Saccharomyces cerevisiae S288C: one gene and its partners. The gene in region 4 interacts genetically with the main gene of each other region. Each region holds a gene or a part of one and is shown on either strand. Other genes may lie near its edges. The genes, in order: SXM1, DGA1, CCC2 and PMA1.

Region 1 (8,361 bases), on a different chromosome or scaffold from region 4:
GGACAAACCAATTCTGCCTATTTCCTTTCACTCATAAGTTATACAAGAGGCAATCGGATAAAATTCAAGTATTTATAAAGTAAAAACCACAACAAGAATGGAGGAACTAGGTATTGTGACACCTGTCGAAAAGGCAGTCGAAGAAAAACCAGCCGTCAAATCATACGCATCATTGTTGGCTCAACTCAATGGTACAGTCAACAATAACAGTGCCCTGTCTAATGTGAATTCTGATATATATTTCAAATTGAAGAAATTAGAAAAAGAGTATGAACTGCTGACTTTGCAAGAAGACTATATTAAGGACGAACAACGCCATTTGAAACGTGAATTGAAGAGAGCTCAAGAAGAAGTAAAGAGAATCCAGTCGGTTCCATTAGTTATCGGGCAATTCTTAGAACCTATTGATCAGAACACAGGTATTGTTTCTAGTACCACAGGTATGAGTTATGTCGTTAGAATATTATCAACCCTAGACCGTGAACTATTAAAGCCATCTATGTCTGTAGCTTTACATCGTCATTCAAATGCTTTAGTTGACATCCTACCACCTGATTCCGACTCTAGCATATCCGTAATGGGCGAAAACGAAAAACCTGACGTCACTTATGCAGATGTTGGTGGGTTAGATATGCAAAAGCAAGAAATCAGGGAAGCCGTAGAGCTGCCATTAGTTCAGGCTGATCTATACGAGCAAATCGGTATTGACCCTCCTAGGGGTGTTCTATTATATGGTCCACCAGGTACCGGTAAGACGATGCTTGTTAAAGCCGTCGCCAATAGTACAAAAGCTGCATTCATAAGAGTTAATGGCTCCGAATTTGTTCACAAATATCTTGGTGAAGGTCCAAGAATGGTTCGTGACGTCTTTAGACTCGCCAGGGAAAATGCTCCATCCATTATATTCATAGATGAGGTAGATTCCATTGCCACAAAGCGTTTTGATGCTCAAACGGGTTCCGATCGTGAAGTACAGCGTATCCTGATTGAGTTGTTGACACAAATGGATGGTTTCGATCAATCCACCAACGTTAAAGTCATCATGGCTACAAACAGGGCAGACACATTGGACCCAGCTTTGCTGAGACCAGGCAGATTAGATAGAAAGATTGAGTTTCCCTCACTTCGTGATAGGCGTGAACGTCGTTTGATTTTCGGTACCATTGCCAGTAAGATGTCCCTTGCCCCAGAAGCGGACTTAGACTCGCTTATTATTCGTAACGACTCTCTATCAGGTGCTGTTATTGCAGCGATCATGCAGGAAGCTGGTTTAAGAGCAGTGAGGAAAAACAGATATGTCATCTTACAAAGCGATCTGGAAGAAGCTTACGCCACTCAAGTCAAGACAGATAATACCGTCGATAAATTCGACTTCTACAAATGATTACCATATATGCTTCAACGTAGGTCTACATAAAGTATTACGTACATTTCTATCTAGACAACACTAAATGAAATAAATACAGACGCCACTTTTTTATCACGTTTCTTAGCGTTATTCCGCGCGCAACCGGACGTCGCTAGCCAAGTTTTTCACTTTTTTTTTTCTGTGATATTTTTTTTTCCAAATGAGATGGTAAGATGAGTACCTATCAACAAGTATCTCAATCAATAAAGTACAACCAAAATATCAAGTACGCAGTCTCTGCTTCATCCCAGTGTAGATTTGCTATTCGATTTGTGTCATAAACATTTAACATTGCGCCCGTCTACAACAAAGGAGATAAATCAAAAAAGGAAATGGTACAAGAACAGGCAATTTTGAGCTGCATTGAGCAGACTATGGTTGCTGATGCAAAAATTATCAAAGAGGCAGAACAGCAGTTATTTGAGTTCCAGAAGCAACCTGGGTTTACTTCTTTTCTGCTTAATATAGTGTCTGATGATAATTTTGCGCTAAATGTTCGTCTTTCTTCTGCTATTTATTTGAAGAATAAGATTCACAGATCATGGGATACTAAGAGAGAAGATGGTATAAAAGCTGACGAAAAGCTTTCGATCAAGGAAAGGTTAATCGAGACTTTAGTTAAAAACTGTGAAAATAACCACATTAGGCCTATCCTGACTGAAACCATAAATGGGATACTTGTTGGTCAGGAAGATTGGGATTTAGCACCTATTATCAAGAATTTATTATCGAGCGGTGACGCATCGTACATTTATCCCGGGTTACTACTACTGTTCCAACTTTGTAAAGCTCATAGGTGGGACATGGTTGGGTCGAGAGATTATATTGATTCTGTTATCGAAGAACTTTTCCCTATTGTGGAAGGGATAGCTTCTAATATCGGTAGTCAAACGGATTACAGATCTAATGAAATATTGTACCTCATTTTGAAGTCATTCAAGTATGCATGTTTGAACAACTTGCCTCAATACTTCAGCCAACCTGAAAGAATTATGTCATGGGTGCAACTACATTTGTATTTATGTTCCAAACCATTACCAGTCGAAGTAATGGAACTGGATCCCGCAGATAGGTCCCTAGACAAAAGGGTTAAAGTGAACAAATGGGGGTTCGGTAACTTAAACAGATTCCTGCAAAGATACAACAAAATTACAAAGGCCATCACCAAGGAATTTATCGACTATATCTTCAATACTATTGTTCCTATAATTCTTCGAGAATTTTTTAAGGATATTGAAGCTTGGGGTAATAATTCACTATGGTTATCCGATTCCTCTTTGTATTTCTTAATTTCATTCCTAGAGAAATGTGTTACAATAGATCAACTTTATCCTTTAATTGAGCCACATTTACAAATTATTTTTGAGAACGTCATCTTCCCATGTTTGTGTGCTAATGAACAATCCATCGAATTATTAGAAGATGACCAAGAGGAATATACCAGGCGTTATTTTGACATTAACAGAGAAGGCTCTACGCCAGATGCTGCTTCAGCAGATTTCATATTCTTGATTGGGTCCAAACGTCCTGAGAAACTGAACAATATTTTACCGTTCATTAATGATATTTTTACTAGATTCGATGCCAATTCCAGTGATATTAACATGGCATTTAAAGAAGAGGGTGCTTTGAGAACATTGTCTAACTTGTTTTCGTTTATAGATGAGCCATCCGTTCTGGAGAATATTTTTGGACACTTCATCGTGCCATTGTTATCGCAGGATAAGTACATGTTTTTGGTTGCAAGAAGTTTGGAAACGATAGCGCTGTATTCGGAAGAATTTAAAGATATGAACATATTGTCACAATTATTTGAGTTAACATATACCAACTTCTTAAACAGTAACGTTTTACCAGTCCAAATTGAGGCCGCAGATGCCATTAAATGTTTAATTGTATCCAATCCTCAAATCCACCCAGCGGTCTCTGCTCATGTTCCAGGTATGATGGAAAAGCTATTGAAATTGTCTAAAATCTTTGAAATCGATATCTTATCTGAAGTCATGGAAGCATTGGTGGAGAGATTTTCAGATGAACTATCCCCATTTGCTAAAGATTTAGCTTCAAACCTAGTCGAACAATTTTTACGTATTGCTCAAGCATTGGTAGAAAATCCATCGGAAACCTACAGCGCAAGTGACCAAGAGCAGGAAATCCAGGCCAGTGGATTGTTACAAACAATGACTACTATGGTCATGTCAATGAATAAAGTTCCATTAATCGAGTCCTTAGCTCCCGTGGTCAAGTTTGTTGTACTTCATGCACAAATTTCTTTTATTACGGAAGCTGTCGACTTACTGGATGCTTTAACTATTTCTTCGCATCTGCTTTATAACCAAATTGCACCACCAATATGGGAGTTGTTACATGATATATTGGATTCTTTCCAAACTTATGCCATGGACTATTTTGAGGCCTACAGTATTTTTTTTGAAACCATCGTGATGACCGGCTTCCCACAAGATCAAACTTATGTTCAACCTCTGCTAGAAATTCTCTCTGCTAAACTGGAAAGTGAAGTTGACTACGACATCGAGCATGTTATGCAAATTCTAATGTACTTCGCACTGTCCATGAGAGACATTCCATTATTCAGCAAAGCCATCAAAGTATCCACTAATGATGAGCTAGGATTGGACTCTAAATGCATCGTTAAACTGGGACTGGCCAATTTGTTTGCTAAACCAATCGAAACTTTACAAATAATGGAAAATGAAGGTTTTACTATAAATTTCTTTACCAATTGGTTTAATGAAAAGTTCTACAGTGTCTTCGCCATCAAATTACAAGTCCTGGTCATTTTAACCCTTTTGAAGATGCCTGAAGTTCCTAATAGTGTCAGCCCACTACTAAATAACCTGACCAATAAACTGGTGGAATTGACATTATCATTGCCAAAGGCAATTAGAAACCGTGATGCTGTTACCGAGGGCAAATCCTTAGAAGGAGACCTGACCCCAGAAGAAGAAGAAGAATACTTTATCGAATGTGATGATGATATGAAGGAGACAGTGTTAGACCAAATTAATGTTTTCCAGGAAGTACATACCTTTTTCAAGAATTTGCAAAACGAAGATGCCGGTAAGTACGAAAAAATCATAAATTATCTGGATGAATCTAAGAGAGATTCCTTGCAGGTAATTCTGGAATTTGTTTCTCAACACTGAGGAGAACACAAAAAAAATAGTGGAATGTGATAGTTTGAAATAAGGATATTAGTTTATACTCTAATATACAAATATAAAAGTTGTTTCTTTTTCGTTCTTTTTTTTTTTTGGACTTGTCTTCGTTTTTATTACATACATGCATGCGCTTAACATATTCCCATGTGGTTTATTTTCGTATATAGCATTACTTTGTTTAGAAGCTTCTATTCAAGAAGAATCCTCCGACTTAACCGGATCAGATACACTATTGTGGTGTAATCTGGACCTTGACTGTCTAAACAACTCCTCTTGTTGTCGTAGCAGCTCTTCTTCCGAGAGACCTGACTTCTTGAACTTGGAATCCCTAGTTTCTTTCACCTTCTGGGAACCCTTAAAATTCAATAATATTTCCTCTAAGAATGGTATAAACTCATTATACTCCAACTCTTCTAGCGCTTTGATCACGTGCTCGGGCGCTATGGTTTTCTTAGCCTCGTTGTCCGCCATTTCGGAAGCCATCGAGGACAGGATCATTATGAATTCTATGCCGGAGTTGATGATGATTTCTCTTGCATCCTTGGTAAACATCAAATCCTGGTCCAGTATTTCAGATATCATCTTTTGTACGGTCGCTAAGATCATTCAGTGTTTTCTCTAAGTTAGTATAACCGCTCAGTACCCGCATCAAAGCTTGAGTTTTGCAACAACAATATAACTAACATACCCTTGGGAAGCGACACATTATCGGAGTCTCCAGCCATCAATTAATTAATAGGTACAACTGTATTAGTAAATATCGTTATGATTTCTTGCCCACCTTATACTGGTAACTCTGCACGATAGAAATCGACAAGGCGAGCAGAGGGCGAAAAGCGCGACCAAAAACCGCTTCCATTTATATAGGAGGGAGAGTGCAGCGGGCTGGGCGTTTTAAAGTGGTGCAAGAGTTAATTGCACATACTGGAATACGCCAAAGATAAGAGCCCGAGCTGATTAAACCAGATCGTAATTTTTGCGGCGACTATTCGCATGAACAGGCTATGCTGCATAGTGGTGGCATTTCTTTACAATAGTTTTGGTTGAACGTGTTGTACAGTTCCCCTTATTCTTTGATTGTCATTTAACACGGGGATGAGCTTCTTGACAAAAAAATTTTATCCAATTTTTTTTCATTTCTTTTTCTAATCTTTCGCAGCTGAAGCGATGAGGTGAAAAAATTAACAAGTATTGGATAGGATATATGTATGTAAAGATAGATGCAGAGCATATATAGTTTAAACTTGGCTTAGCAAGAGGGTAAAAGACACATTTGCCTTATAATTGTTCATTACCGATGGATTCTCCTGTTCTACAGTCCGCTTATGACCCATCAGGTCAGTATTTGTGTTATGTCACTGTAGCTTTGGACAAGCAACGCGTTGGTGTACAGCCCACTCAAAGGGCCACTTCCTCCGGAGTTGATACAGTGTGGAATGAGAATTTTCTGTATTTAGAGGACTCGAAATTGAAGGTGACGTGCTTAAAATGGGTAAACCTGGCTTCTTCCGACACAGTGGCTATTATATTGGGTATGAATAACGGTGAAATTTGGCTATATTCCGTATTGGCCAACGAAGTCACCTATAAATTCACTACGGGGAATTCTTACGAAATCAAAGACATAGACTTGATGGGTAATCAACTGTGGTGTATCGACTCCAGCGACGCATTCTATCAGTTCGATCTGTTACAATTCAAACTGTTACAACATTTTAGAATAAACAACTGCGTTCAATTGAATAAACTAACCATTGTTCCAGCAGGCGATTCTGTTGCACAACTTTTGGTTGCATCCCATTCCATTTCTTTAATAGACATCGAAGAGAAAAAAGTCGTAATGACATTTCCCGGTCATGTATCTCCAGTGTCCACATTGCAAGTTATAACTAATGAATTTTTCATATCAGGCGCAGAGGGTGATAGATTCTTGAACGTATATGATATTCATTCCGGTATGACCAAATGCGTCCTTGTGGCTGAATCAGATATCAAGGAGTTATCTCATTCAGGCCAAGCCGATTCTATCGCAGTCACTACCGAGGATGGTAGCTTGGAAATTTTTGTTGATCCATTGGTATCGAGTTCAACAAAGAAAAGAGGCAACAAGTCCAAAAAATCCAGCAAAAAGATTCAAATCGTCAGTAAAGACGGCAGGAAAGTTCCAATTTATAACGCATTTATTAATAAAGACCTTTTGAACGTATCGTGGTTACAAAATGCTACTATGCCTTACTTCAAGAACTTGCAGTGGAGAGAAATCCCTAATGAATATACCGTCGAAATTTCCCTAAATTGGAATAATAAAAATAAGTCCGCCGATCGCGATCTACACGGTAAAGATCTTGCCTCAGCCACCAACTACGTGGAAGGTAATGCAAGAGTCACCTCTGGAGATAACTTCAAGCATGTTGATGACGCTATAAAGAGCTGGGAAAGAGAATTGACTTCTTTGGAACAAGAACAGGCCAAGCCCCCACAGGCCAATGAACTATTAACAGAAACATTTGGTGATAAGCTAGAATCAAGCACCGTCGCAAGGATTAGTGGGAAAAAAACAAATTTAAAAGGTTCCAATCTCAAGACTGCTACGACAACCGGGACGGTAACAGTAATTCTGTCGCAAGCACTACAATCAAATGATCATTCACTGTTGGAAACAGTGCTCAATAATCGTGACGAGAGGGTCATTAGGGATACTATCTTCCGTCTGAAACCAGCACTGGCTGTCATTCTCTTAGAAAGGTTGGCAGAGAGGATTGCAAGACAAACCCACCGTCAAGGCCCATTGAATGTTTGGGTAAAATGGTGTTTAATCATACACGGTGGCTATTTGGTTTCTATTCCAAATTTGATGTCTACTCTATCGTCGTTACATTCCACCTTGAAAAGGCGTTCCGACTTATTACCAAGGCTACTAGCACTGGATGCAAGGTTAGACTGTACTATAAATAAATTCAAAACTTTGAACTATGAAGCAGGCGACATCCACTCATCCGAACCAGTTGTCGAAGAGGACGAAGACGACGTTGAATATAACGAAGAACTCGATGATGCCGGCCTTATAGAGGACGGTGAAGAATCTTATGGCAGTGAAGAAGAAGAAGAAGGTGATAGTGACAACGAAGAGGAACAGAAGCATACCTCATCTAAGCAAGATGGCCGTTTAGAAACGGAGCAGAGCGACGGCGAGGAGGAAGCCGGATATAGTGACGTTGAGATGGAATAGAGGATATCATGCATAAAATGCTTTCACGCATCAGAATACAAAAATAATCTCTAGGCACATAAATACTTATATAGAGTTCACCACATAATGTAAGAAAAGAAAAAAGAAAAAAAAAGATCACGAAAGTATCCCACGCGAAGAAGATCTGTCAAAAGACCCCCACAATCGTTTATCCTTTTTGAACTGCATCTGGCATCGTTAACAGTAAGGCCATCTGGAACATCAAGCAAGCACTCCACTTTTACGTCACAACCATAGTTGGTTAACTAAGAAAAGACAGTACATATTTCCCTTCCGAGTCACTTATTTTTTTTTTCTTCTGAAAAAATTAATTAGATTAATTTCAATTAATATCATTTCCGCTTATCTGACTTCTTTCATTTTTTTTCTCTATATTTCGCGTTTACTAGGAAAGAAAAGGAAAAAAAATTTTTCCCCCTCCATCTGTCCCAAATCGGGTAGCGATGAGCTGCTATAGAATTTTCTATTTAAACATGTTTGATAAGCCCAATTTCCGTTAGATTTTGTTCCCCCTTCGCAGT
Region 2 (4,758 bases), on a different chromosome or scaffold from region 4:
AAAAGGACACGTTTGAACTCATAATTCACCAACTGGTCGAATTAGTAATCGAAGTGGTGTTGTACCATTGTACGTTACCTGGAGAGGTAGTGGTAACAGAAGGTGCACCGGTGACAGTAACGTATTGTGTAGTCGTATTTGGGGTGACTGTAACGTACTGGGTAACGGGCTCATTGGTGACAGTGACAAACTTTGTGATTGGGACGCAACCATTGGAAGTTGAAGCCTGTTCAAAGGACTTGACCTTTGCATCTTTGTTGTTTGAATCTTCGTCACTGACACTTGCTGCAGTAGATGATGGAGACAAAGTAGTGGAGTCATGAAGGGTTAGCAGCAAAGTGGACGTGATAGTCGAGGTGGAGGTAATTTCATGGGTGGATTCTGGGGTTACAGATCCAGAGGCCGAAGAGGTGGACAAGGAGGAGGAGGCCGCATTGGTAATGGTGGCTGAAGTTGAGGTGAACCAGCTCGTGGAGTAGACCGTTGAGGTGACAAAAAAGGTAGTGGTGTCGTCGGCGTACGATATGGTAGTCTCTTGGGGCACCAAGGAGTAGCTGGGCGCTAAAGTGGTAGTTGTAGAAACAGTATTGTTTGAATAAATCGCTGACACAGAACTTGCGAAGGTTAAAAGAGCGAAAAAGACAACGGATTGAAGCATTTTTTTATTTTTGGTTGATAAAGAACGACTAAGGTGAGAGTGAAAGTGATGTGATTTTTAATTATGTAGTGTAATTGAAACAATAAAAAAAAAACAAGGGAATGGACGAGACCTATTAATGGGTACTATGGCTCAAATAGCAAAAAAAATTTGTAAAATGGGTAAAAAAATGAGAGAAATACGCGAGAAACCTCTTGGTTGGATGTTGTGCTAAACTAGTTGCTTAAACGCTTGCAAAACTTTTTTATAGATAAAATATGCCAAGTGAAAAGAAAAGGAAGCAGAAGAGAAAAACTTAGAAAGGTAGAGGTAAGAAAGAATAAACCAAAATGTAAGCTAGGTGAGGGAAATATTTTGGAGCTTAAATATCTCGAACGACACTCACTCTCGTCAGAAAAATCTGTCGAGTAACTCAGACCACCTCCGATAGCATACCTTGTTTAGTTTCATAATCGGCAGAGACGTCATTCCTGCACAGAACGCCAAAATTCGTGGCCCCCGCGGTACCTGAATCAGGGCCAAGAATTTTGGCGTTTCGTGTTGTTGACATATTCCGAAAAAGGTATTGAGCCACAGGTCTTTCGCGTCTTCTAAGCCCCAAGATAAAGAAAATGCCGCCCTGCTTAATCACTGTTTTTTTTTGGAAAACCCTGAAGTATAGAAGTAGGGCATTGAAAGAAAAGATATGCGGGTAAGATATGAAAAAATTGAGGAAATGAGACCCAAGTGTACATGGGTATATATAAACAAATCATTATGGTGCATGATGCATCACTTACAATGCACACACACTATTGTCTTTGTAGAAACGGGGAAGACAATGGTTGTAGGCCTGATTGGTATTAGAGGCATCCGCAGTACGAGACATACGCCAAAGGCAGAATGTTAGACCCACGAATATTGCCATACTACGACCCGGCTGTGGAGAGGAAGATTGCTGTAGTAACAGGCGGAAATACGGGTATTGGGTGGTATACTGTCTTGCATTTGTATTTGCATGGGTTTGTCGTTTATATTTGTGGGAGAAACTCTCACAAGATTTCGAAAGCAATCCAGGAGATACTGGCAGAAGCAAAGAAGAGGTGCCATGAAGATGACGACGGTTCAAGCCCAGGCGCGGGCCCAGGTCCAAGCATTCAGCGTCTAGGGTCACTGCACTATATCCATTTGGATTTGACAGACTTAAAATGTGTGGAGAGAGCGGCACTTAAAATTCTCAAGCTGGAAGACCACATAGACGTGCTTGTTAACAATGCAGGGATTATGGCGGTGCCCTTAGAAATGACGAAGGACGGATTTGAAGTGCAATTGCAGACTAACTACATTTCGCACTTCATCTTCACGATGAGATTATTGCCTTTACTGCGCCATTGTCGTGGCAGGATCATTTCCCTGTCCTCGATAGGCCATCATCTAGAGTTCATGTACTGGAAACTGAGCAAGACGTGGGATTACAAACCTAATATGCTTTTCACATGGTTTAGGTACGCGATGAGTAAAACCGCGCTAATCCAATGCACGAAGATGTTGGCCATCAAATACCCTGACGTTCTTTGTCTCTCCGTTCATCCGGGTCTGGTGATGAACACAAACTTATTCAGTTATTGGACAAGGTTACCCATCGTCGGTATTTTCTTTTGGCTGTTGTTCCAGGTCGTAGGGTTCTTTTTCGGCGTATCGAACGAACAAGGTTCACTAGCTTCTTTGAAGTGTGCATTGGACCCGAATTTATCTGTCGAAAAAGATAACGGGAAGTACTTCACCACGGGGGGTAAAGAATCTAAATCGAGCTACGTTTCTAACAATGTCGACGAAGCGGCATCGACTTGGATCTGGACCGTTCATCAACTAAGAGACCGTGGTTTCGATATATAACAAGACGGAAAGATTGAAAGAGTAGATAGATGTACATTTTATTTAAATATTAGTTAGTCGTTATTGTAACTGGTAATCAGAGCAAGAAGTTTTTCTGTACTTTGTTCTCTGCAGGCAACTAAGTTACGGGCCGACAAAGGCTTATGATGTGCGTTTTTTATTCAATTGATAGATTCAGTCAGCATTGACGTAATGGGAAGGCTAGAAAAAGAGAAGACTGAATTTGGAAACTTATTCCTCAAAGCAGACCAGTACTTCCACCGCATTTCTGTACTTAACCAAGCACGACAGTGGTCTATCAGGCTTGGATCTTTCACTACACTTCCGCCAAAGTTTTTTTTTTTTCCTGTTTATCCCAGATCACGTTTGTTCCATTAAGGAGGTTTACTATCATCTCATTTCCATTTACACATACACTTACATATACATAAGGAAACGCAGAGGCATACAGTTTGAACAGTCACATAAATGTCAGGAACATTCAATGATATAAGAAGAAGGAAGAAGGAAGAAGGAAGCCCTACAGCCGGTATTACCGAAAGGCATGAGAATAAGTCTTTGTCAAGCATCGATAAAAGAGAACAGACTCTCAAACCACAACTAGAGTCATGCTGTCCATTGGCGACCCCTTTTGAAAGAAGGTTACAAACTCTGGCTGTAGCATGGCACACTTCTTCATTTGTACTCTTCTCCATATTTACGTTATTTGCAATCTCGACACCAGCACTGTGGGTTCTTGCTATTCCATATATGATTTATTTTTTTTTCGATAGGTCTCCTGCAACTGGCGAAGTGGTAAATCGATACTCTCTTCGATTTCGTTCATTGCCCATTTGGAAGTGGTATTGTGATTATTTCCCTATAAGTTTGATTAAAACTGTCAATTTAAAACCAACTTTTACGCTTTCAAAAAATAAGAGAGTTAACGAAAAAAATTACAAGATTAGATTGTGGCCAACTAAGTATTCCATTAATCTCAAAAGCAACTCTACTATTGACTATCGCAACCAGGAATGTACAGGGCCAACGTACTTATTTGGTTACCATCCACACGGCATAGGAGCACTTGGTGCGTTTGGAGCGTTTGCAACAGAAGGTTGTAACTATTCCAAGATTTTCCCAGGTATTCCTATTTCTCTGATGACACTGGTCACACAATTTCATATCCCATTGTATAGAGACTACTTATTGGCGTTAGGTATTTCTTCAGTATCTCGGAAAAACGCTTTAAGGACTCTAAGCAAAAATCAGTCGATCTGCATTGTTGTTGGTGGCGCTAGGGAATCTTTATTAAGTTCAACAAATGGTACACAACTGATTTTAAACAAAAGAAAGGGTTTTATTAAACTGGCCATTCAAACGGGGAATATTAACCTAGTGCCTGTGTTTGCATTTGGAGAGGTGGACTGTTATAATGTTCTGAGCACAAAAAAAGATTCAGTCCTGGGTAAAATGCAACTATGGTTCAAAGAAAACTTTGGTTTTACCATTCCCATTTTCTACGCAAGAGGATTATTCAATTACGATTTCGGTTTGTTGCCATTTAGAGCGCCTATCAATGTTGTTGTTGGAAGGCCTATATACGTTGAAAAGAAAATAACAAATCCGCCAGATGATGTTGTTAATCATTTCCATGATTTGTATATTGCGGAGTTGAAAAGACTATATTACGAAAATAGAGAAAAATATGGGGTACCGGATGCAGAATTGAAGATAGTTGGGTAATAATGAATTCATTGGAAAACACAAAATATGTTAGAATAAATAAGGATTTTTTAGTGTTTGGGCTGTATATCTTAAGTAAGAGTATTAACTTACAGGAATACTGGAGTTCTCGTTGAATATTAGTGATTGTTTTACGTAAATTTCATTTATTTAAAGCTTTTACATTAGAAGTTGTTTGAATGTAAGTTTAGGAAAGCACTACATAGCTTACCAGGCAAAGCGTAACTGAGAGGCAGTAAATACCGGTGGTTTCCATATGAGTCTATTAGGGTCTATTGTCCTTCTCTTTTTGGCTTTAAGTCGATTGTACCTATCTAAAATATCTTCATTCAGGAAAATAATATGCTGACCCTTGTAATATCGCAGGATATTCAGTGTCTTTGCTGTGTGTAATATATCTGTAGTGGTCATCGAAGTCATGGAGCTTATTTCGTCTATAGTAATTTCCTTCTGGTGTTCCACTAATAGCGTTATGAGAGTGTCCGACCAATAGGCTCTAT
Region 3 (8,523 bases), on a different chromosome or scaffold from region 4:
AACTTGTTCATCCTTCGATAGGGGACAAAAAAATTTTAAAAGATTTAGTGTTTCGGTAGCAACCTCTTCGCTAGTGAAATTTATTCCATATTTTTCATTTTTTTCGCAAAAGTTATATTTATCTGAAATATCACCATCTATGCGATCGGTAAACATGACTTCTTCATTCTCCGTTCTGCAAATCAAACAGCTTTTCTTGTTGTACAAAGCTCGTTGTCTGAAACCACAGATATGGCATGTCTTATGATGGCATGGTGTTAGAGATACGTATGTTAACTTGCGCGCACAAATTACACATAATTCATTTTCTTCATCAGTATCATCTGCGCTTGAAGTGGTGAGGTTGGGTTCAGCAGAAAGGTTATTTTTCTTTTGCTTTCTTCTGAAATTCTTCCTGTCGTTGTGAGGTTTTGTATTATTTTGGGGCCCTTGAGTACGACGGAAGTTACGTGTCGGAGTAACGTTTTCTTTCACTGATTCGCTCATCCTAATTCTTGAAAAGAAGTATAGCCACTATTTTTTCGACGAAAGAGACTGTATCAAAATGCACTTTATGGATCTTTTTCAGCTAGGTATGCGCTCGACGATTTGTTGAATATGGCTGAGTGGGCAGTCGTTCAGATGCCCTTTTCAAAATCTTAAGAGAAAATCAGAAAATATAGCTATTATTAAGAGTGACCGCGAGTATGAAACTTTCAGTGTAACCTTTCTTTATTCGAGATAATGCTTAATTACAAGTCTTCCGAATATCTAATTTTTTTTTTTTTCATTTTTAAATTTCAGTTTTTACCGCATGCTTTTAATGCAGGGATATGTATAACGAGGTCACTCCGTCACACATGACAGAATTGCGTTATAGTGATACAAAGGTTTATGTAACTAGGTAGAAAAATCGTCATTAAGTTTATTTTTAGAATTCAGATCGATCACTGTGTTAATATGAGTTCCTGAATTGTACTCTTGCTTCTACATCTACGCTGCTTTTTCTAGAGACCAGAAATTTACGATCCCGTCGTCACCGCCTGTTGCAAGTATAGTTTTACCATTTAACTCCAACCACTTCACAACGTTGATTTCATAAACTCCATGACATAATGCACGTTTAGCAAAAACTTTCCATTCTCCGTCTACTTCTTCATAGACCGCTAGTACTCCATCCGCTCCTACACTAGCAATGAGGCCATTAAAGCCCCATGCAACATTGTATACCTGTCTTTTGTGTACATCCGGGAGAATAGCTTCACAAACCCATTCTTGTTGATCATCCTCGTCGTCACCCATGTATTTCCATACCCGTACAGTGGAATCGTCGCTTCCACTGCACAGTCTAAACACGCCCTCAGTCTTGTCAAAATCAGAAGACCAAACAGTTCCTTCATGGCCATTTAAGACAGCAACACATTCCCAGTCATCGTCATAGTCTTTCCATATCCTGACGGTGTCATCATAAGAACTTGAAGCCAGTAATGCTTCAGATGGATGCCATATAACATGTTTAACGTCTTGTGAATGTTCTTGCAAAACACTAATACACTCATATTCCTCGCCACTTTCATCTGTTTCCCATATCCACACGCTTTTATCTCTGGAACAGGTTGCTAGGTAATATCCATCATTCGACCACGCTACACCTTTTACTTCATTTTCGTGACCTTCGATAATAGCTAGCAGGTCCATCTCGAAAGTTCTGTCAGCAGATTCTTCCTTAGCCCAGATAGATACAGTGGAATCAAAAGAGCCAGCCGCTAACAGCGAAGTGTGAGGTCTCCACGCCACAGATCGAATCGCCTTTTTATGAGCAGTCTCATCTAGCACATCAATTAACGTAAAATCGTCATATTTCACGCTAACTAGCTTAATTTTTCGATCAGTTGAACCTGTTGCTAATATACCTTGAGAAAAGTCAAAAGACCATATCTTTTCCTTGTAAAGTTTCAAAGACTTAATCAGATTGATAGACGCCATTACCAAATAAGTAAACCAATTGAACTATTAAAATGTCGTGGTATAGCCCGATTTTGATTTGTGATATCTACAAATCTAGTATTTATTCGCAATTAATGAGGCAAAGACGATACAATATTCGATGTGAGATTTTTCAAAACACGGCCCGCTGAGAGCAGAAAGTTTTAGATGACCTATTTGAAGGCAATCACGATGGTATTTTTCAAGAAAATAAATAGTAGTAACACTGCTATGCACATCAGAGTCAGATTCCTTAAATTCAAACGTTTCTACAATTAGTATGACCTTTTCTTGAAGATCTTTTTCTCCTTATAAAGGCAACACAAAACAAGATAGAAGTGCAAAGGTATTTTTTGTTTTTCACGTGATAAAATCGGCTTCGAGAAAGTAGAAAAGGGTATTATGATTTATTACAGGCTACCTGCACCATCTCAAAGGTTTTACGTTACTAAGGAGTGAATCAGGTTTTGATAAATATTTACACTATCTTTTACAAGGAAGATGTCGAATAAGCAGGCGGTTCTGAAGTTAATCAGTAAAAGGTGGATAAGCACAGTGCAACGTGCCGATTTTAAGCTGAATTCCGAAGCGCTTCATAGTAATGCTACGGTATTTAGTATGATTCAGCCAACTGGGTGTTTCCACCTTGGTAATTATCTAGGTGCTACACGTGTTTGGACAGACTTATGTGAATTAAAACAACCTGGCCAGGAATTGATATTTGGAGTTGCTGATTTACACGCTATCACTGTTCCAAAGCCAGATGGAGAAATGTTTAGAAAATTTCGCCATGAGGCAGTAGCAAGTATACTGGCTGTCGGTGTAGATCCAGAAAAGGCTTCGGTGATCTACCAATCCGCCATCCCTCAACACAGTGAATTACACTGGTTGCTTTCTACTCTTGCCTCGATGGGATTACTTAACCGCATGACGCAATGGAAATCAAAATCGAATATCAAACAATCAACTAATGGGGATTATCTGGTTAACGATTCTGACGTGGGAAAAGTTAGACTGGGCTTATTTTCGTATCCTGTTTTACAGGCAGCGGATATTCTACTTTATAAATCTACACACGTTCCTGTTGGCGATGATCAATCGCAGCATTTGGAACTAACAAGACACCTTGCTGAAAAGTTTAACAAAATGTACAAGAAAAATTTTTTTCCTAAACCTGTAACTATGTTGGCACAAACGAAAAAAGTTTTGAGCTTAAGCACGCCTGAAAAGAAAATGTCCAAGAGTGATCCGAATCACGACTCTGTAATTTTTTTGAATGATGAGCCTAAGGCAATTCAGAAAAAGATTAGAAAAGCTTTAACAGATTCCATTTCTGATAGGTTCTACTACGACCCTGTAGAAAGACCAGGCGTATCGAATTTAATTAACATTGTCAGTGGCATTCAAAGAAAATCGATTGAAGATGTCGTAGAAGATGTATCTCGTTTCAATAACTATAGGGATTTCAAAGATTATGTTTCAGAAGTGATAATTGAGGAATTGAAAGGCCCAAGAACAGAATTTGAGAAATATATCAACGAACCGACCTATTTGCATAGTGTCGTTGAATCTGGCATGCGCAAAGCGAGAGAAAAAGCAGCAAAAAACCTGGCCGACATTCATAAAATAATGGGCTTCTGACTGTCCCCGGCTTTAGGCTGCTGCAAACGCAATGTAAATAATAATACAGTTTAACTTGTACGTATCTTTGTTATTTCAGAATATGCAAGATTCCTCACTCGGCAGATCTCATCAATAAACGTTAGTATCTTGAAAAATACGCAGATGTTGGTACAGTCTCTTGCAGAGGGCCAGCACCGTTAGAATGTTGTGTTGCCACCGTCTGGCTCGAAAACAGGTCGATCTGTGTAAGTATTGTCCTGGGTGCAGTTATTTGTAGTAGCGATTTTCGCGGGCAGTGGAAAAGAACGGGTGCAGTGCGGCGATGAGTGCAATTAGCTGCCGAAGGGTTTGCACCGGTGATTCCGAGACCTTTTGCACACACTTGTATATATTTAGGGAAGTCACGGTAACTAATGGATTTCTTCTCAAATTTGAGACATATGGATTAGACTTTAATTCTGCCTGGTACTAAGCTACTTTTCAAAGGTATTTGAGATATTTCGTAAATTTTGCGGCCAAGGAGTTGAGGTGTTTAATACTTAAAACGAAATGAGAGAAGTGATACTTGCTGTACATGGAATGACATGCAGCGCCTGTACTAATACAATCAATACGCAGTTACGAGCTTTAAAGGGTGTAACAAAATGTGATATTAGTTTAGTGACTAATGAGTGCCAGGTGACATACGATAACGAGGTTACCGCCGATTCTATTAAGGAAATTATAGAGGATTGTGGATTTGACTGTGAGATACTAAGAGATTCTGAAATTACAGCCATAAGTACGAAGGAAGGACTACTGAGTGTACAAGGTATGACCTGTGGGTCTTGTGTTTCTACAGTCACCAAACAAGTGGAAGGCATTGAGGGTGTTGAATCGGTAGTCGTTTCCTTGGTAACGGAAGAGTGCCATGTTATTTATGAACCGTCCAAGACAACGCTAGAAACCGCCAGAGAAATGATTGAAGACTGTGGATTTGACTCAAATATTATTATGGATGGCAACGGGAATGCAGACATGACCGAAAAAACGGTGATCTTGAAAGTAACTAAGGCTTTCGAGGACGAATCCCCACTCATACTTTCTTCAGTAAGCGAAAGGTTTCAATTTTTGTTAGACCTAGGTGTAAAATCGATAGAAATTTCTGATGATATGCACACACTCACCATAAAATACTGTTGTAACGAACTCGGCATTAGAGATTTATTGAGGCACCTTGAGAGGACCGGATATAAATTCACTGTATTTTCCAATTTAGATAATACTACCCAGTTAAGGCTTCTCTCTAAAGAGGACGAGATAAGATTCTGGAAAAAAAACAGCATAAAATCCACCCTTTTGGCTATAATATGTATGCTATTGTATATGATTGTCCCTATGATGTGGCCAACAATTGTTCAGGACCGCATATTCCCTTACAAAGAAACCTCCTTTGTTAGAGGTCTGTTCTACAGAGATATTTTGGGTGTAATATTGGCAAGCTATATTCAGTTCAGCGTTGGTTTTTACTTTTACAAGGCAGCATGGGCATCTTTAAAGCACGGTTCAGGAACCATGGATACACTAGTTTGTGTTTCCACTACTTGTGCATACACATTTTCTGTGTTTTCTTTAGTTCACAATATGTTCCATCCCTCAAGTACTGGCAAACTCCCAAGGATCGTTTTCGACACATCAATCATGATCATTTCATATATTTCCATCGGGAAATATTTGGAAACTTTAGCTAAATCACAAACATCAACCGCACTTTCTAAATTAATTCAGCTCACTCCATCGGTGTGTTCAATTATATCTGACGTGGAGCGGAATGAAACCAAGGAAATTCCCATAGAATTATTGCAAGTGAACGATATAGTGGAGATTAAACCAGGGATGAAAATTCCTGCTGATGGCATCATAACAAGAGGTGAATCTGAAATTGACGAGTCGTTAATGACAGGCGAATCCATTTTGGTGCCCAAGAAAACTGGTTTTCCGGTTATTGCTGGTTCTGTTAATGGACCTGGACATTTCTACTTCAGAACTACTACCGTTGGGGAGGAAACTAAATTAGCAAATATTATCAAGGTAATGAAAGAAGCACAATTGAGTAAAGCTCCCATTCAGGGGTATGCAGATTATTTAGCCTCTATTTTTGTTCCGGGGATCCTAATTTTGGCAGTATTGACTTTCTTTATTTGGTGTTTTATTTTAAACATCTCGGCTAATCCTCCCGTCGCTTTCACCGCAAATACTAAGGCTGATAATTTTTTTATTTGCTTACAAACTGCTACTTCTGTTGTCATCGTCGCATGCCCATGTGCATTGGGACTTGCCACGCCGACTGCTATAATGGTGGGTACAGGGGTTGGAGCTCAGAATGGTGTCTTAATAAAGGGCGGAGAAGTATTGGAAAAATTCAATAGTATTACTACTTTTGTTTTTGATAAAACAGGTACCTTAACTACAGGTTTTATGGTTGTGAAAAAGTTCCTTAAAGATTCAAATTGGGTTGGAAACGTGGATGAAGACGAAGTTCTCGCCTGTATAAAAGCAACGGAATCCATTAGTGACCATCCAGTTTCGAAAGCAATTATACGTTATTGTGATGGTTTGAACTGTAATAAGGCTTTAAATGCCGTTGTTTTAGAAAGCGAATACGTGCTTGGAAAGGGAATAGTCTCAAAGTGTCAAGTTAATGGAAATACTTATGATATTTGTATTGGGAACGAGGCGCTGATTTTGGAGGATGCATTAAAAAAATCCGGATTTATTAACAGTAATGTCGACCAAGGAAACACTGTATCATACGTATCAGTAAACGGGCATGTGTTTGGCTTGTTCGAGATTAATGATGAAGTTAAACATGATTCTTACGCAACAGTTCAGTATCTACAAAGAAATGGATATGAAACGTATATGATTACTGGCGATAATAACTCAGCAGCAAAAAGAGTCGCTAGAGAAGTAGGTATAAGCTTCGAAAATGTTTACAGCGATGTGTCACCCACAGGCAAATGTGATCTCGTGAAAAAAATTCAAGATAAAGAAGGTAATAACAAGGTTGCTGTTGTTGGCGATGGCATTAACGACGCTCCCGCTTTAGCACTGAGTGATCTAGGTATTGCCATTTCAACAGGTACGGAGATTGCTATTGAAGCAGCTGATATTGTTATACTGTGCGGTAATGATCTGAATACTAATAGTTTGAGAGGACTGGCCAACGCCATCGATATTTCACTAAAAACGTTCAAAAGAATAAAGCTGAATTTGTTCTGGGCACTTTGCTATAATATATTCATGATTCCGATTGCTATGGGTGTGCTCATTCCTTGGGGCATAACTCTTCCTCCAATGCTCGCCGGTTTAGCGATGGCATTCAGCTCGGTCAGTGTCGTTCTAAGTTCATTGATGTTGAAGAAGTGGACTCCACCGGATATTGAATCACATGGGATTTCAGATTTCAAGTCCAAATTTTCGATTGGGAATTTTTGGTCAAGGCTTTTTTCTACGCGGGCTATTGCAGGTGAGCAAGACATAGAATCACAGGCCGGACTAATGTCAAACGAAGAAGTCTTGTAAATAACAGGTAAGTCTAATTTATTTAAAAAAATCCACGAGCATATAGATTTATAACAATAATAATAATTAATATTCATCAATTTTTTAGTAAATTCATATATTTTACTCCTACTCTATGTATTTTCAGTAAGTCTACTAGTCGTATTACCCGTCGGTTTCAAGGGATATTATGGAGGTAATAAGGATTTTTTTACCGATTTAAAAACCCATTATATCCCTCTTAGAAAAATTTTAGTATTCTTAGATAAGTTGCTAGATTTACCAATATCAAAGGGAAGACTGCAGGACAACACAAAAACACAAGAAAAGGAGGACAAAAAATGCAGGTTAAATCGATTAAAATGAGATGGGAGTCTGGTGGTGTTAATTACTGCTATCTATTGTCCGACAGTAAAAATAAAAAATCGTGGCTAATCGATCCAGCAGAGCCTCCTGAGGTTCTGCCAGAGTTGACTGAGGATGAGAAAATAAGTGTTGAAGCAATTGTTAATACACATCACCATTATGACCATGCAGATGGTAACGCTGATATCTTGAAGTATTTAAAAGAGAAAAATCCAACTTCAAAAGTTGAGGTTATAGGAGGGTCAAAGGACTGCCCAAAGGTTACGATAATTCCGGAGAATTTGAAAAAGTTACACCTAGGTGACTTAGAGATTACTTGTATTAGGACGCCCTGCCATACCAGAGACTCTATCTGTTATTATGTGAAAGATCCAACAACAGATGAGCGCTGCATTTTTACTGGCGATACACTATTTACCGCTGGTTGCGGTAGGTTTTTTGAGGGTACAGGCGAAGAAATGGATATAGCTCTGAACAATTCTATCTTAGAAACTGTGGGCAGGCAGAACTGGAGTAAAACGAGGGTTTATCCAGGACACGAATACACAAGTGATAATGTAAAGTTTGTTCGTAAGATTTACCCGCAAGTTGGTGAAAATAAAGCATTGGATGAGTTAGAACAATTCTGCTCCAAGCATGAAGTCACAGCAGGGCGGTTCACTTTGAAAGATGAGGTAGAATTTAATCCATTCATGAGATTAGAAGATCCAAAGGTCCAAAAAGCTGCCGGAGATACGAATAATTCATGGGACAGAGCTCAAATTATGGATAAATTGAGAGCTATGAAAAACCGTATGTAGGAAAGCCAACAGAGTATAATATACTTAAAAATATTCTTTTAGCATACCCTTTTATTTCAATGTATAAGAGTTTTTGGAACGCTACTTTATAACATTCAGGTCTGTTCACTAGAACTCTTGTAGTTGTGCCGTCATAAAAATTAGTCTTCGCGTGGCTGAAAGAAAAGTTCCAATAATACGGGCGGCTCGAGTAGAGTAATCATTGCCGTCACAAAACCATTTTCGG
Region 4 (8,456 bases):
AAATTAGTGTGTGTGCATTATATATATTAAAAATTAAGAATTAGACTAAATAAAGTGTTTCTAAAAAAATATTAAAGTTGAAATGTGCGTGTTGTGAATTGTGCTCTATTAGAATAATTATGACTTGTGTGCGTTTCATATTTTAAAATAGGAAATAACCAAGAAAGAAAAAGTACCATCCAGAGAAACCAATTATATCAAATCAAATAAAACAACCAGCTTCGGTGTGTGTGTGTGTGTGAAGCTAAGAGTTGATGCCATTTAATCTAAAAATTTTAAGGTGTGTGTGTGGATAAAATATTAGAATGACAATTCGAGATGAAATTTTAAGCAAACTCTAGTAGGAAATAAGCGGCTTATTCTTGTTGGCTCCTAATTCTTTTTAGTGTATCAGTTCCCATTGATAAAAAAATTAAAATTAAAATTAGAAAAATTAAACCAGAAAAATCAAGTTGATTAAAATGTGACAAAAATTATGATTAAATGCTACTTCAACAGGATTAGGTTTCCTTTTCGTGTTGAGTAGAGACTCTTTGCATAGCAGCCATGAAGTCTTCGACACTTCTGGTAGACTTCTTTTCCTTCATTGGCTTACCGTTCATCAATCTGTCAAAGGCTTCAGAAGTGGACATTTCGTAGTAGAAACCACCCAAAACACAGAAGATACCGATAGACCAGATCCAGACACGGACGACAGTAACAATATCAGTCCAGTTTTCAGACCACCAACCGAATAAGGTAAACATGGTAGCGATGATGTCGACAGCGAAGACGGCACCAGCCAATTGCCAGGATGGGATAGAAGACCAGAATGGACCAGCAGCTCTGGTAATGAAAATCAACCAGTTTTCAGTCAAGGAAATTTGCAAGAACATAATACCGTTCATAGCACCGAAGTTTTGGATAATACCACCCTTTGGTAAGAACATAGTAGTCAAGGTAATCCAAGAACCTATAGCTAAAACTATGCCCAAAATAATAGACATACCCCATAATCTTGGTAGGTTCCATTTAACGGGCTTTGGAGAGTAAGGAGCATTATCGTAAGCAATAGCCAAAGTAGCAACATCAGCGAAAATAGCGATGAAAACAATCAAATCAATGTCCAAAGAGTTATCCAAAATAGCAATCCATAGACCCAAGAAGATTTCCAAATGTAGAGACAAAGCAATACGGTAAACAACGTAAGAGTACATTCTGTGAAAAATTTGTCTGGAGGTCTTCAAAGCATCAATAATAGCAGATAGACCAGGAGCCAAGAAAACAATATCAGCAGCAGATCTGGCAGCATCAGTAGCACCTTCGACAGCAATACCAGTATCAGCCTTCTTCAAAGATGGAGCATCGTTAACACCATCACCAGTCATAGCAACCAAGTAACCTCTGTTTTGCAAGATTTCAACAACTCTGTATTTATGTTGTGGGAAAACTTCAGCGAAACCATCGGCATTTTCAACAAAATCAGCTAATTCAGAACCTGGCATGTCACCACCGCCACCTAGACCTAATCTTTCAGCGTTGTAAATGTTGGTACCCAAACCCAATTGTCTACAAGTTTCCTTAGCAATACCAACAGCATCACCAGTTAACATCTTAACTCTTAGACCCAAGTGTCTAGCTTCGCTAACAGTTTGAGCAGTATCGTCTCTTGGTGGATCCATACATGGCATAACACCCAAGATTTCCCAGTGACCTTCACCTCTCTTTCTAGCAACACCTAAAGCACGGAACCCTCTAGAAGCCAATTCAGCAACCTTGTTTTCGTAGTTTTCATGGACATCTTCTGGGATTGGGTGATCTTCTTCGACAGTCTTCAAGACGAATAATGGAGCACCCTTAACACAAACAATTCTTTCACCTTCTGGAGATTCGACAACGGCAGTAACCTTCTTGGAGACAGGGTCAAATGGATGGAATTCCAAAACCTTGTACTTGGTCAAAGCGTCCTTAGCCTTTGGATATTGCTTCAAAGACTTCAAGAAAGCCTTATCAATAGCATCCAAACCCTTCTTCTTTCTGGAAGCAGCCAAACAAGCAGTCAACATCAAGTCGTCTGGAGAAACACCTTCAACAGTGTATGGTTCGTGCAAGGACAACTTGTTCTTGGTCAAAGTACCGGTTTTGTCGGAACACAAGATTTCGACACCAGCCAAGGATTCAATAGCAGACAACTTTTGAACAATGGCTTGTTTCTTAGCCAAGTAAGCAGCACCGACGGCCATAGTGGTGGTAACGACAGCTGGCAAACCGACTGGGACACCAATAATAGTAATACCTAGAGTGTATCTCAAGATTCTAACAATACCGTTGGTTCTGTAGAAACAAGCAGTCCAGACCAACAACAAAGTGGCAATGACCAAAACCAATAAGATAATACCAATACCGTTCAAAACTTCAGTGAAATGACCTTGACCACCAGCGGCTTTGTTAACCAAAGCAGCAGCTCTACCAACGAAAGTGTTGTCACCGGTAGCGGTAACAACCATGAAACCTTCACCTCTCTTAACAGTGGAAGAAGAGAAAGTTTGGTCACCGTAATGTTTGTCGACAGCCAAAGATTCACCAGTAATAGCAGATTGATCGATTTGCAAGAAACAGTCTTCAGTGACAATACGACCATCAGTTGGGATAACAGTACCATCTTCCAATTGCAAAATATCACCTGGGACGACTTCGTTGGCTGGAATTTCAACCAATTGACCGTCTCTGATAACAACAGCAGTGTTAGCCAAAGTCTTTTTCAATTCATCGACAATAGAACCAGCTTGGAATTCTTGAACGAAACCAACACCAGCGTTTAACATTAACAAACCACAGATAACACCGAAATCGACCCAATCGGACAAACCGGCAGCCAAAATAGCAGCGGCTTCCATAACGAATTGAATTGGACCGACGAAAAACATAACGAACTTAACGACTAAAGATTCTTTTTCGTCAGCCATTTGATTCAAACCGTACTTCTTTCTTCTTTTCAAAACTTCATCGGAAGTTAAACCGTAAGATGGGTCAGTTTGTAAATATTCTTCTGGAACTGGTCTAGCTTCACCGGCGGCAACTGGACCATCGTTATCACTGTCTTCGTCGTCGACACCGTGATTAGATTGTAGTTCTTCGATTAAAGCATCGATATCGTCATCGTCAGAAGATTCAGATGCAGCGTCATCGTAAGTCTTAGCAGGCTTTTCTTGAGTTGGCTGATGAGCTGAAACAGAAGATGCTGAAGAGGATGATGAAGAGGATGATGTATCAGTCATATTGATATTGTTTGATAATTAAATCTTTCTTATCTTCTTATTCTTTTCAATGATTTTCTTTAACTAGCTGGGGTATATTTTTTTTCTTTCTTTTGAATGTGTGTATAAAAGAGAGAAAAAATGGTTATTTTCCAATTAATTAATTATTAACGATTGTTAAAGAAAAAATTTATCAACGAGGTTGATAGAAAAAAAAAGTTTTTGTAGATATAGAAGAAAAAAAGATTTTCACTATTGGTGTTATAGGAAAGAAAGAGAAAAAATTTAAGAGAAATTAGATGTTAGACGATAATGATAGGACATTTGAAAATAATACAATATTTGGCCTTTTTATATAATCGAAACTAATGGAGGGGAGCATAAGCGGTACCCACCATCGACCACGTTTCGTCACCGGTCATAATTGGAATAAACAAAACAAACAAACGAACTAAAGAGTGTGAGAGTAACAATTTCCACAGAGGTAAAAAAAAAAAAAAGGAAAACAGAAACAAAAAAAGCTCATAGTTCTACTATAGCTTCTTCAGACTTTCTGTGAACGAGGGAAAAAGACAACAAAAAAGCAATGGATAAACGGTCTCGAGAGATTTTTCATGATGGAAAAGGAAGGAAAAAAACCCGAAAGGCATATGGATAACATTCTGAAAATGTCTATTCCTGTCAAAAGCATGTCAGAGGTCTCGAGGCCTGGAAGTGCCGCATTAGGAAATACAGATGCAATGCGCGCGAGTTTACGAAATTCTCGCAGGAGTTTCTCCGGCCATGTGCGGCTGGTTCTACGTCTCGTGTATGGGTTTATTTCTGCGGTAATTATCGCCGGATCTCCGCTTCGAGACCGGGTTTGTTTTCAAATTACCGGAAAAGGTCAGGCAAAACAGAGTGATGTATGGGTGATCCCAGCAATGCCTGTTTATGTTTCTCCGTTTCAGGAAGCTTGTTTTGTTTTTTCCCCGTCAGCGATGGTGACGTAAACGACTTTTTGCACTTTAGCAAAGCTGAGTTAATCTCGGAAAATCTCTGTGTCCTTCCTTTTTCTTCTAGCTTCCGTTCCGAGTCTCATCTTCTTTCCCGTGCCGTCGGGTTTAGTAAAGAAATGTAAAGAAAAAATGTCGTATCGTACCCGAGAAATATTTCAATTCTCTTACGTATGCGATAGCAGTTGGAAAGATCTGATTCGTTACGATGACTTGATAAGCGCGGGCTTTTTCGCCCTATACGGCTTGGGCCTGACTAAAATGTGATTCTGTGTTTTACGTATATGCGCGTATATAGAGCAATTGATTGACTTATTACGCAGTTTATCAAGATAAATTCTTTGTTCTTGCTTACGGGAGTGTGGTAAGCATGTATACGCCCGTTTAAAAACCCGATGGAGGCTTTTTCCCCAATTCTCGTACTCCATTGGGCATATGATTTCTTTCTTTTTCCCTTTTTTTTTTTTTCTATTTCCCTAAACTAACAGAACAAGCTTCAAAACAAATGACGGAGAGAAAAACAGTTTTGATTTACCAAATGCGGCAAACTTATTGAGGCTAGACACAGCTCTACCGGATTCGTCCGAGCACTTTTTTGTTTTCTTTTCTATATTTACTACAAACATAACAAAGTTTTGTGCGTCTTCCCTAAAGCAGCTAGGATGAAAATCCTATGCTCTCATCTCGCTGGTTGCCATCTCATCGCATCCAATGCTGTCTGTAATCATTTTATTGGACTTTTCTTTGTTTGCTAATCCCCCTTTTCTTTTTCCCGTTCTTTTCTTGTCCTTGTTTTTCATTTTAACTATATTTCTGAAATTAAGGAAAAATAAGGCAAAAAGTGGGTGGATGCATCTGCGACTTCTCTAGTTTTGCGCCTACTTGGGCGCGCTAATAATAAGGGTTTAGCTTCTTAAAATAAAAATGTCAGTAACAGTTGTACGATAAGGTCTTTACTTTTTTTCTCTCGAGAAATGTCTTTTTCTAATTAATCTCTCTTTTCTGTTGTTGGTTACTGCCTTCCATAGTCCAAGACCATTCGTTATATGGTGCAGTGTAGGATCGAGGAGAATCGGCTCACGGTGCTTATATTATTGCCCGGCTTCAAGTATATTTACATCAGTCTCCATAGTTGTTTTATCTTATTCTTGGCATTGATCTGCTTATTAAACTATTTATCGGTTCTCTCTTCTGGTACAGAACTTAACATGATCTTGTTTTCACTATTGTGCCATAAGCTGAAAAGGCTAAAATAAAATTAAGATAGTAAAGTTCACTCTTAAACTAATCAAGCATGAATAATACAAAATAAATATTTGAGCCAAAGGGGATGATTTAATTATCAAGTTTTTCTTTTCATACTTCGGTTTACAAGCATTGTTTACGGCTCTTCTTTTCTTAGTTCTTGGCAGTTTGTGTTTTCTTGATGAGAATAAGAAAAGTATCGATCTTACGGCAAAACATAAATAAAACACAACTTTATCTTTTTTTGTCGCAGTAGTGTGGTCCTACAGCTCCAAGCCTGCCGCTTTTAAAATAGTGAGCTGTGCATACTGATATATGTTCTATTTTACCCATTTGAGGGGCCTAAATTGTCTATTAATTTTTTTACTTTAATACAGTTTGTATAGAAACATGTGGCACTAACAGCTTTATCCGCCCGCAGAAAAGATAAAAAAAAAGGGTTTTTACCCGGCAAAGAAGCTTCTCCATCATTTGTCAGGGGGAAAAGAAAATTAGGAGGCTCAGGCCCTAGAAGCGCCCTCCACGCTTTTTAAACAAATGCTAATCTTCATAATTCATTATCATCGCCACTTGGCATTGCATTTAATGGGCGCCTTCCAAAAACATTCAAATAGTATCAGCCCCCCCCCAAGGAAAGGCTTTATTTGAATTGCGTTAAATATTCGATTTCTTTCTAGCAATTATTACCAAAATAAATTGCAGGCTTAACGAAAAATTAAATAATCTCTTCAGATTTTTTCACTTCCCCAAACTACATTTTAGTCAGGTTGGCACGATTCAATTGAGAAGGCTTAGGTTAAGAATAAACATTTTTTCATAAATTTGAGGAAGAAGGGGCTTTTCTGGTAATTTTCATTCAATAGAAAGGCTTAAGAAAACGTCAAAAAACTCATGCGCCTCCAGTAAAAACTAAGTGTATTAAGAGAATTGTATCACATATATACGACATTGAATTAAAGAAATAAAACTTGAACAAATAAAGTTTAGAAAAGTGGTTCTAAAAAAAAAAAAACTGTGTGCGTAACAAAAAAAATAATGTCTAGACAAGACGAAAATTCTGCTTTACTAGCGAATAATGAAAATAACAAACCATCGTATACGGGAAATGAGAACGGAGTCTACGATAATTTCAAATTATCAAAAAGTCAACTTTCGGATCTTCATAACCCTAAATCAATAAGATCATTTGTCAGATTATTTGGATATGAGTCTAACAGCCTCTTCAAATACTTGAAAACAGATAAAAATGCAGGCATTTCTCTTCCAGAAATATCAAATTATCGAAAGACAAACCGGTATAAAAATTATGGCGATAATTCACTTCCTGAAAGAATACCAAAGTCTTTTTTACAATTAGTATGGGCTGCTTTTAATGACAAAACAATGCAATTACTGACAGTCGCCGCTGTTGTTTCCTTTGTTTTAGGTCTATACGAACTATGGATGCAACCTCCACAGTATGATCCTGAAGGAAATAAAATTAAGCAAGTTGACTGGATTGAAGGGGTTGCTATCATGATTGCGGTCTTTGTGGTAGTTCTAGTGAGTGCCGCTAACGATTACCAGAAGGAGTTGCAATTTGCAAAGCTAAATAAAAAGAAGGAAAACCGTAAAATTATAGTCATAAGAAATGATCAGGAAATATTAATTTCCATTCACCACGTTTTAGTCGGTGATGTCATTTCATTACAAACCGGTGATGTTGTCCCCGCTGATTGTGTTATGATATCAGGGAAGTGTGAGGCAGATGAATCATCCATCACTGGTGAATCTAACACAATACAGAAATTTCCGGTGGATAACTCATTAAGAGATTTCAAAAAATTTAATTCTATCGATAGTCATAACCATAGCAAACCATTAGATATAGGTGACGTTAACGAAGACGGTAACAAGATTGCTGATTGTATGTTGATTTCAGGTTCCAGAATTCTCTCTGGCTTGGGCAGGGGTGTCATCACGTCCGTGGGTATAAACTCAGTTTACGGTCAAACCATGACTTCATTAAATGCCGAACCTGAAAGTACTCCATTACAGTTACATTTGAGCCAATTGGCTGATAATATATCCGTTTACGGTTGCGTGTCTGCTATAATTCTTTTCTTGGTCCTTTTCACTAGGTACTTATTTTACATAATACCTGAGGATGGCAGGTTCCATGATCTAGATCCCGCTCAAAAGGGTTCTAAATTTATGAACATTTTTATCACATCTATCACGGTTATTGTGGTGGCTGTTCCGGAAGGTTTACCATTAGCTGTAACTTTGGCCTTAGCGTTTGCAACAACAAGAATGACAAAAGACGGTAATTTAGTACGGGTTTTAAGAAGCTGTGAAACGATGGGATCTGCTACTGCAGTGTGCTCTGATAAGACTGGCACTTTGACAGAAAATGTCATGACTGTCGTTCGTGGCTTCCCGGGCAATTCTAAATTTGATGATAGTAAATCGTTGCCCGTTAGCGAACAAAGGAAGCTGAATTCTAAGAAAGTTTTTGAAGAAAATTGTTCGTCATCCTTGAGAAATGATTTATTAGCCAATATTGTCCTGAATTCTACCGCCTTCGAAAACAGAGATTATAAGAAAAACGATAAAAATACAAATGGTAGTAAAAATATGTCAAAAAATTTGAGTTTTTTAGATAAGTGTAAATCTAGATTATCGTTTTTTAAAAAAGGCAACAGGGAAGATGACGAGGATCAATTATTCAAAAATGTCAACAAGGGTAGGCAAGAACCCTTTATTGGCTCTAAAACGGAAACAGCCTTACTCAGTTTGGCAAGATTATCATTAGGATTACAACCGGGAGAATTGCAATATTTGAGAGATCAACCGATGGAAAAGTTTAATATCGAAAAAGTTGTTCAAACAATTCCGTTTGAAAGTTCTCGTAAATGGGCCGGCTTAGTGGTAAAGTACAAAGAAGGCAAAAATAAAAAACCATTTTACAGGTTTTTCATTAAAGGTGCAGCAGAAATTG

The links.
Region 1: mutations in PMA1 (region 4) and SXM1 together harm fitness more than expected from each alone (negative genetic interaction), as found in Saccharomyces cerevisiae (2 studies listed by BioGRID).
Region 2: mutations in PMA1 (region 4) and DGA1 together harm fitness more than expected from each alone (negative genetic interaction), as found in Saccharomyces cerevisiae (2 studies listed by BioGRID).
Region 3: mutations in PMA1 (region 4) and CCC2 together harm fitness more than expected from each alone (negative genetic interaction), as found in Saccharomyces cerevisiae (2 studies listed by BioGRID).

The regions. Positions count from the first base shown.
Region 1 is NC_001136.10:1,261,584-1,269,944, forward strand, and holds SXM1 (Sxm1p), read left to right. Parts: upstream 1-1,740; coding exon 1,741-4,575; downstream 4,576-8,361. Other genes in the region: proteasome regulatory particle base subunit RPT3, read left to right, coding at 98-1,384; negative cofactor 2 transcription regulator complex subunit NCB2, read right to left, coding at 4,783-5,186, 5,279-5,315; UTP5 (Utp5p), read left to right, coding at 5,888-7,819.
Region 2 is NC_001147.6:793,576-798,333, reverse strand, and holds DGA1 (diacylglycerol O-acyltransferase), read left to right. Parts: upstream 1-3,001; coding exon 3,002-4,258; downstream 4,259-4,758. Other genes in the region: SRL1 (Srl1p), read right to left, coding at 26-658; ENV9 (Env9p), read left to right, coding at 1,541-2,533; NuA4 histone acetyltransferase complex catalytic subunit ESA1, read right to left, coding at 4,466-4,758. UniProt on the Saccharomyces cerevisiae protein: Catalyzes the terminal and only committed step in triacylglycerol (TAG) synthesis by using diacylglycerol (DAG) and fatty acyl-CoA as substrates. Required for storage lipid synthesis.
Region 3 is NC_001136.10:1,001,538-1,010,060, forward strand, and holds CCC2 (Cu(2+)-transporting P-type ATPase CCC2), read left to right. Parts: upstream 1-4,137; coding exon 4,138-7,152; downstream 7,153-8,523. Other genes in the region: E3 ubiquitin-protein ligase HEL2, read right to left, coding at 1-486; iron-sulfur cluster assembly protein CIA1, read right to left, coding at 973-1,965; tryptophan--tRNA ligase MSW1, read left to right, coding at 2,467-3,606; hydroxyacylglutathione hydrolase GLO2, read left to right, coding at 7,473-8,297. UniProt on the Saccharomyces cerevisiae protein: Copper-transporting P-type ATPase necessary for the proper uptake of iron. Required for export of copper from cytosol into extracytosolic compartment.
Region 4 is NC_001139.9:479,410-487,865, forward strand, and holds PMA1 (H(+)-exporting P2-type ATPase PMA1), read right to left. Parts: upstream 3,258-8,456; coding exon 501-3,257; downstream 1-500. Other genes in the region: YGL007C-A (uncharacterized protein), read right to left, coding at 3,532-3,618; BRP1 (Brp1p), read left to right, coding at 3,851-4,228; YGL006W-A (uncharacterized protein), read left to right, coding at 6,014-6,124; calcium-transporting ATPase PMC1, read left to right, coding at 6,512-8,456. UniProt on the Saccharomyces cerevisiae protein: The plasma membrane ATPase of plants and fungi is a hydrogen ion pump. The proton gradient it generates drives the active transport of nutrients by H(+)-symport. The resulting external acidification and/or internal alkinization may mediate growth responses.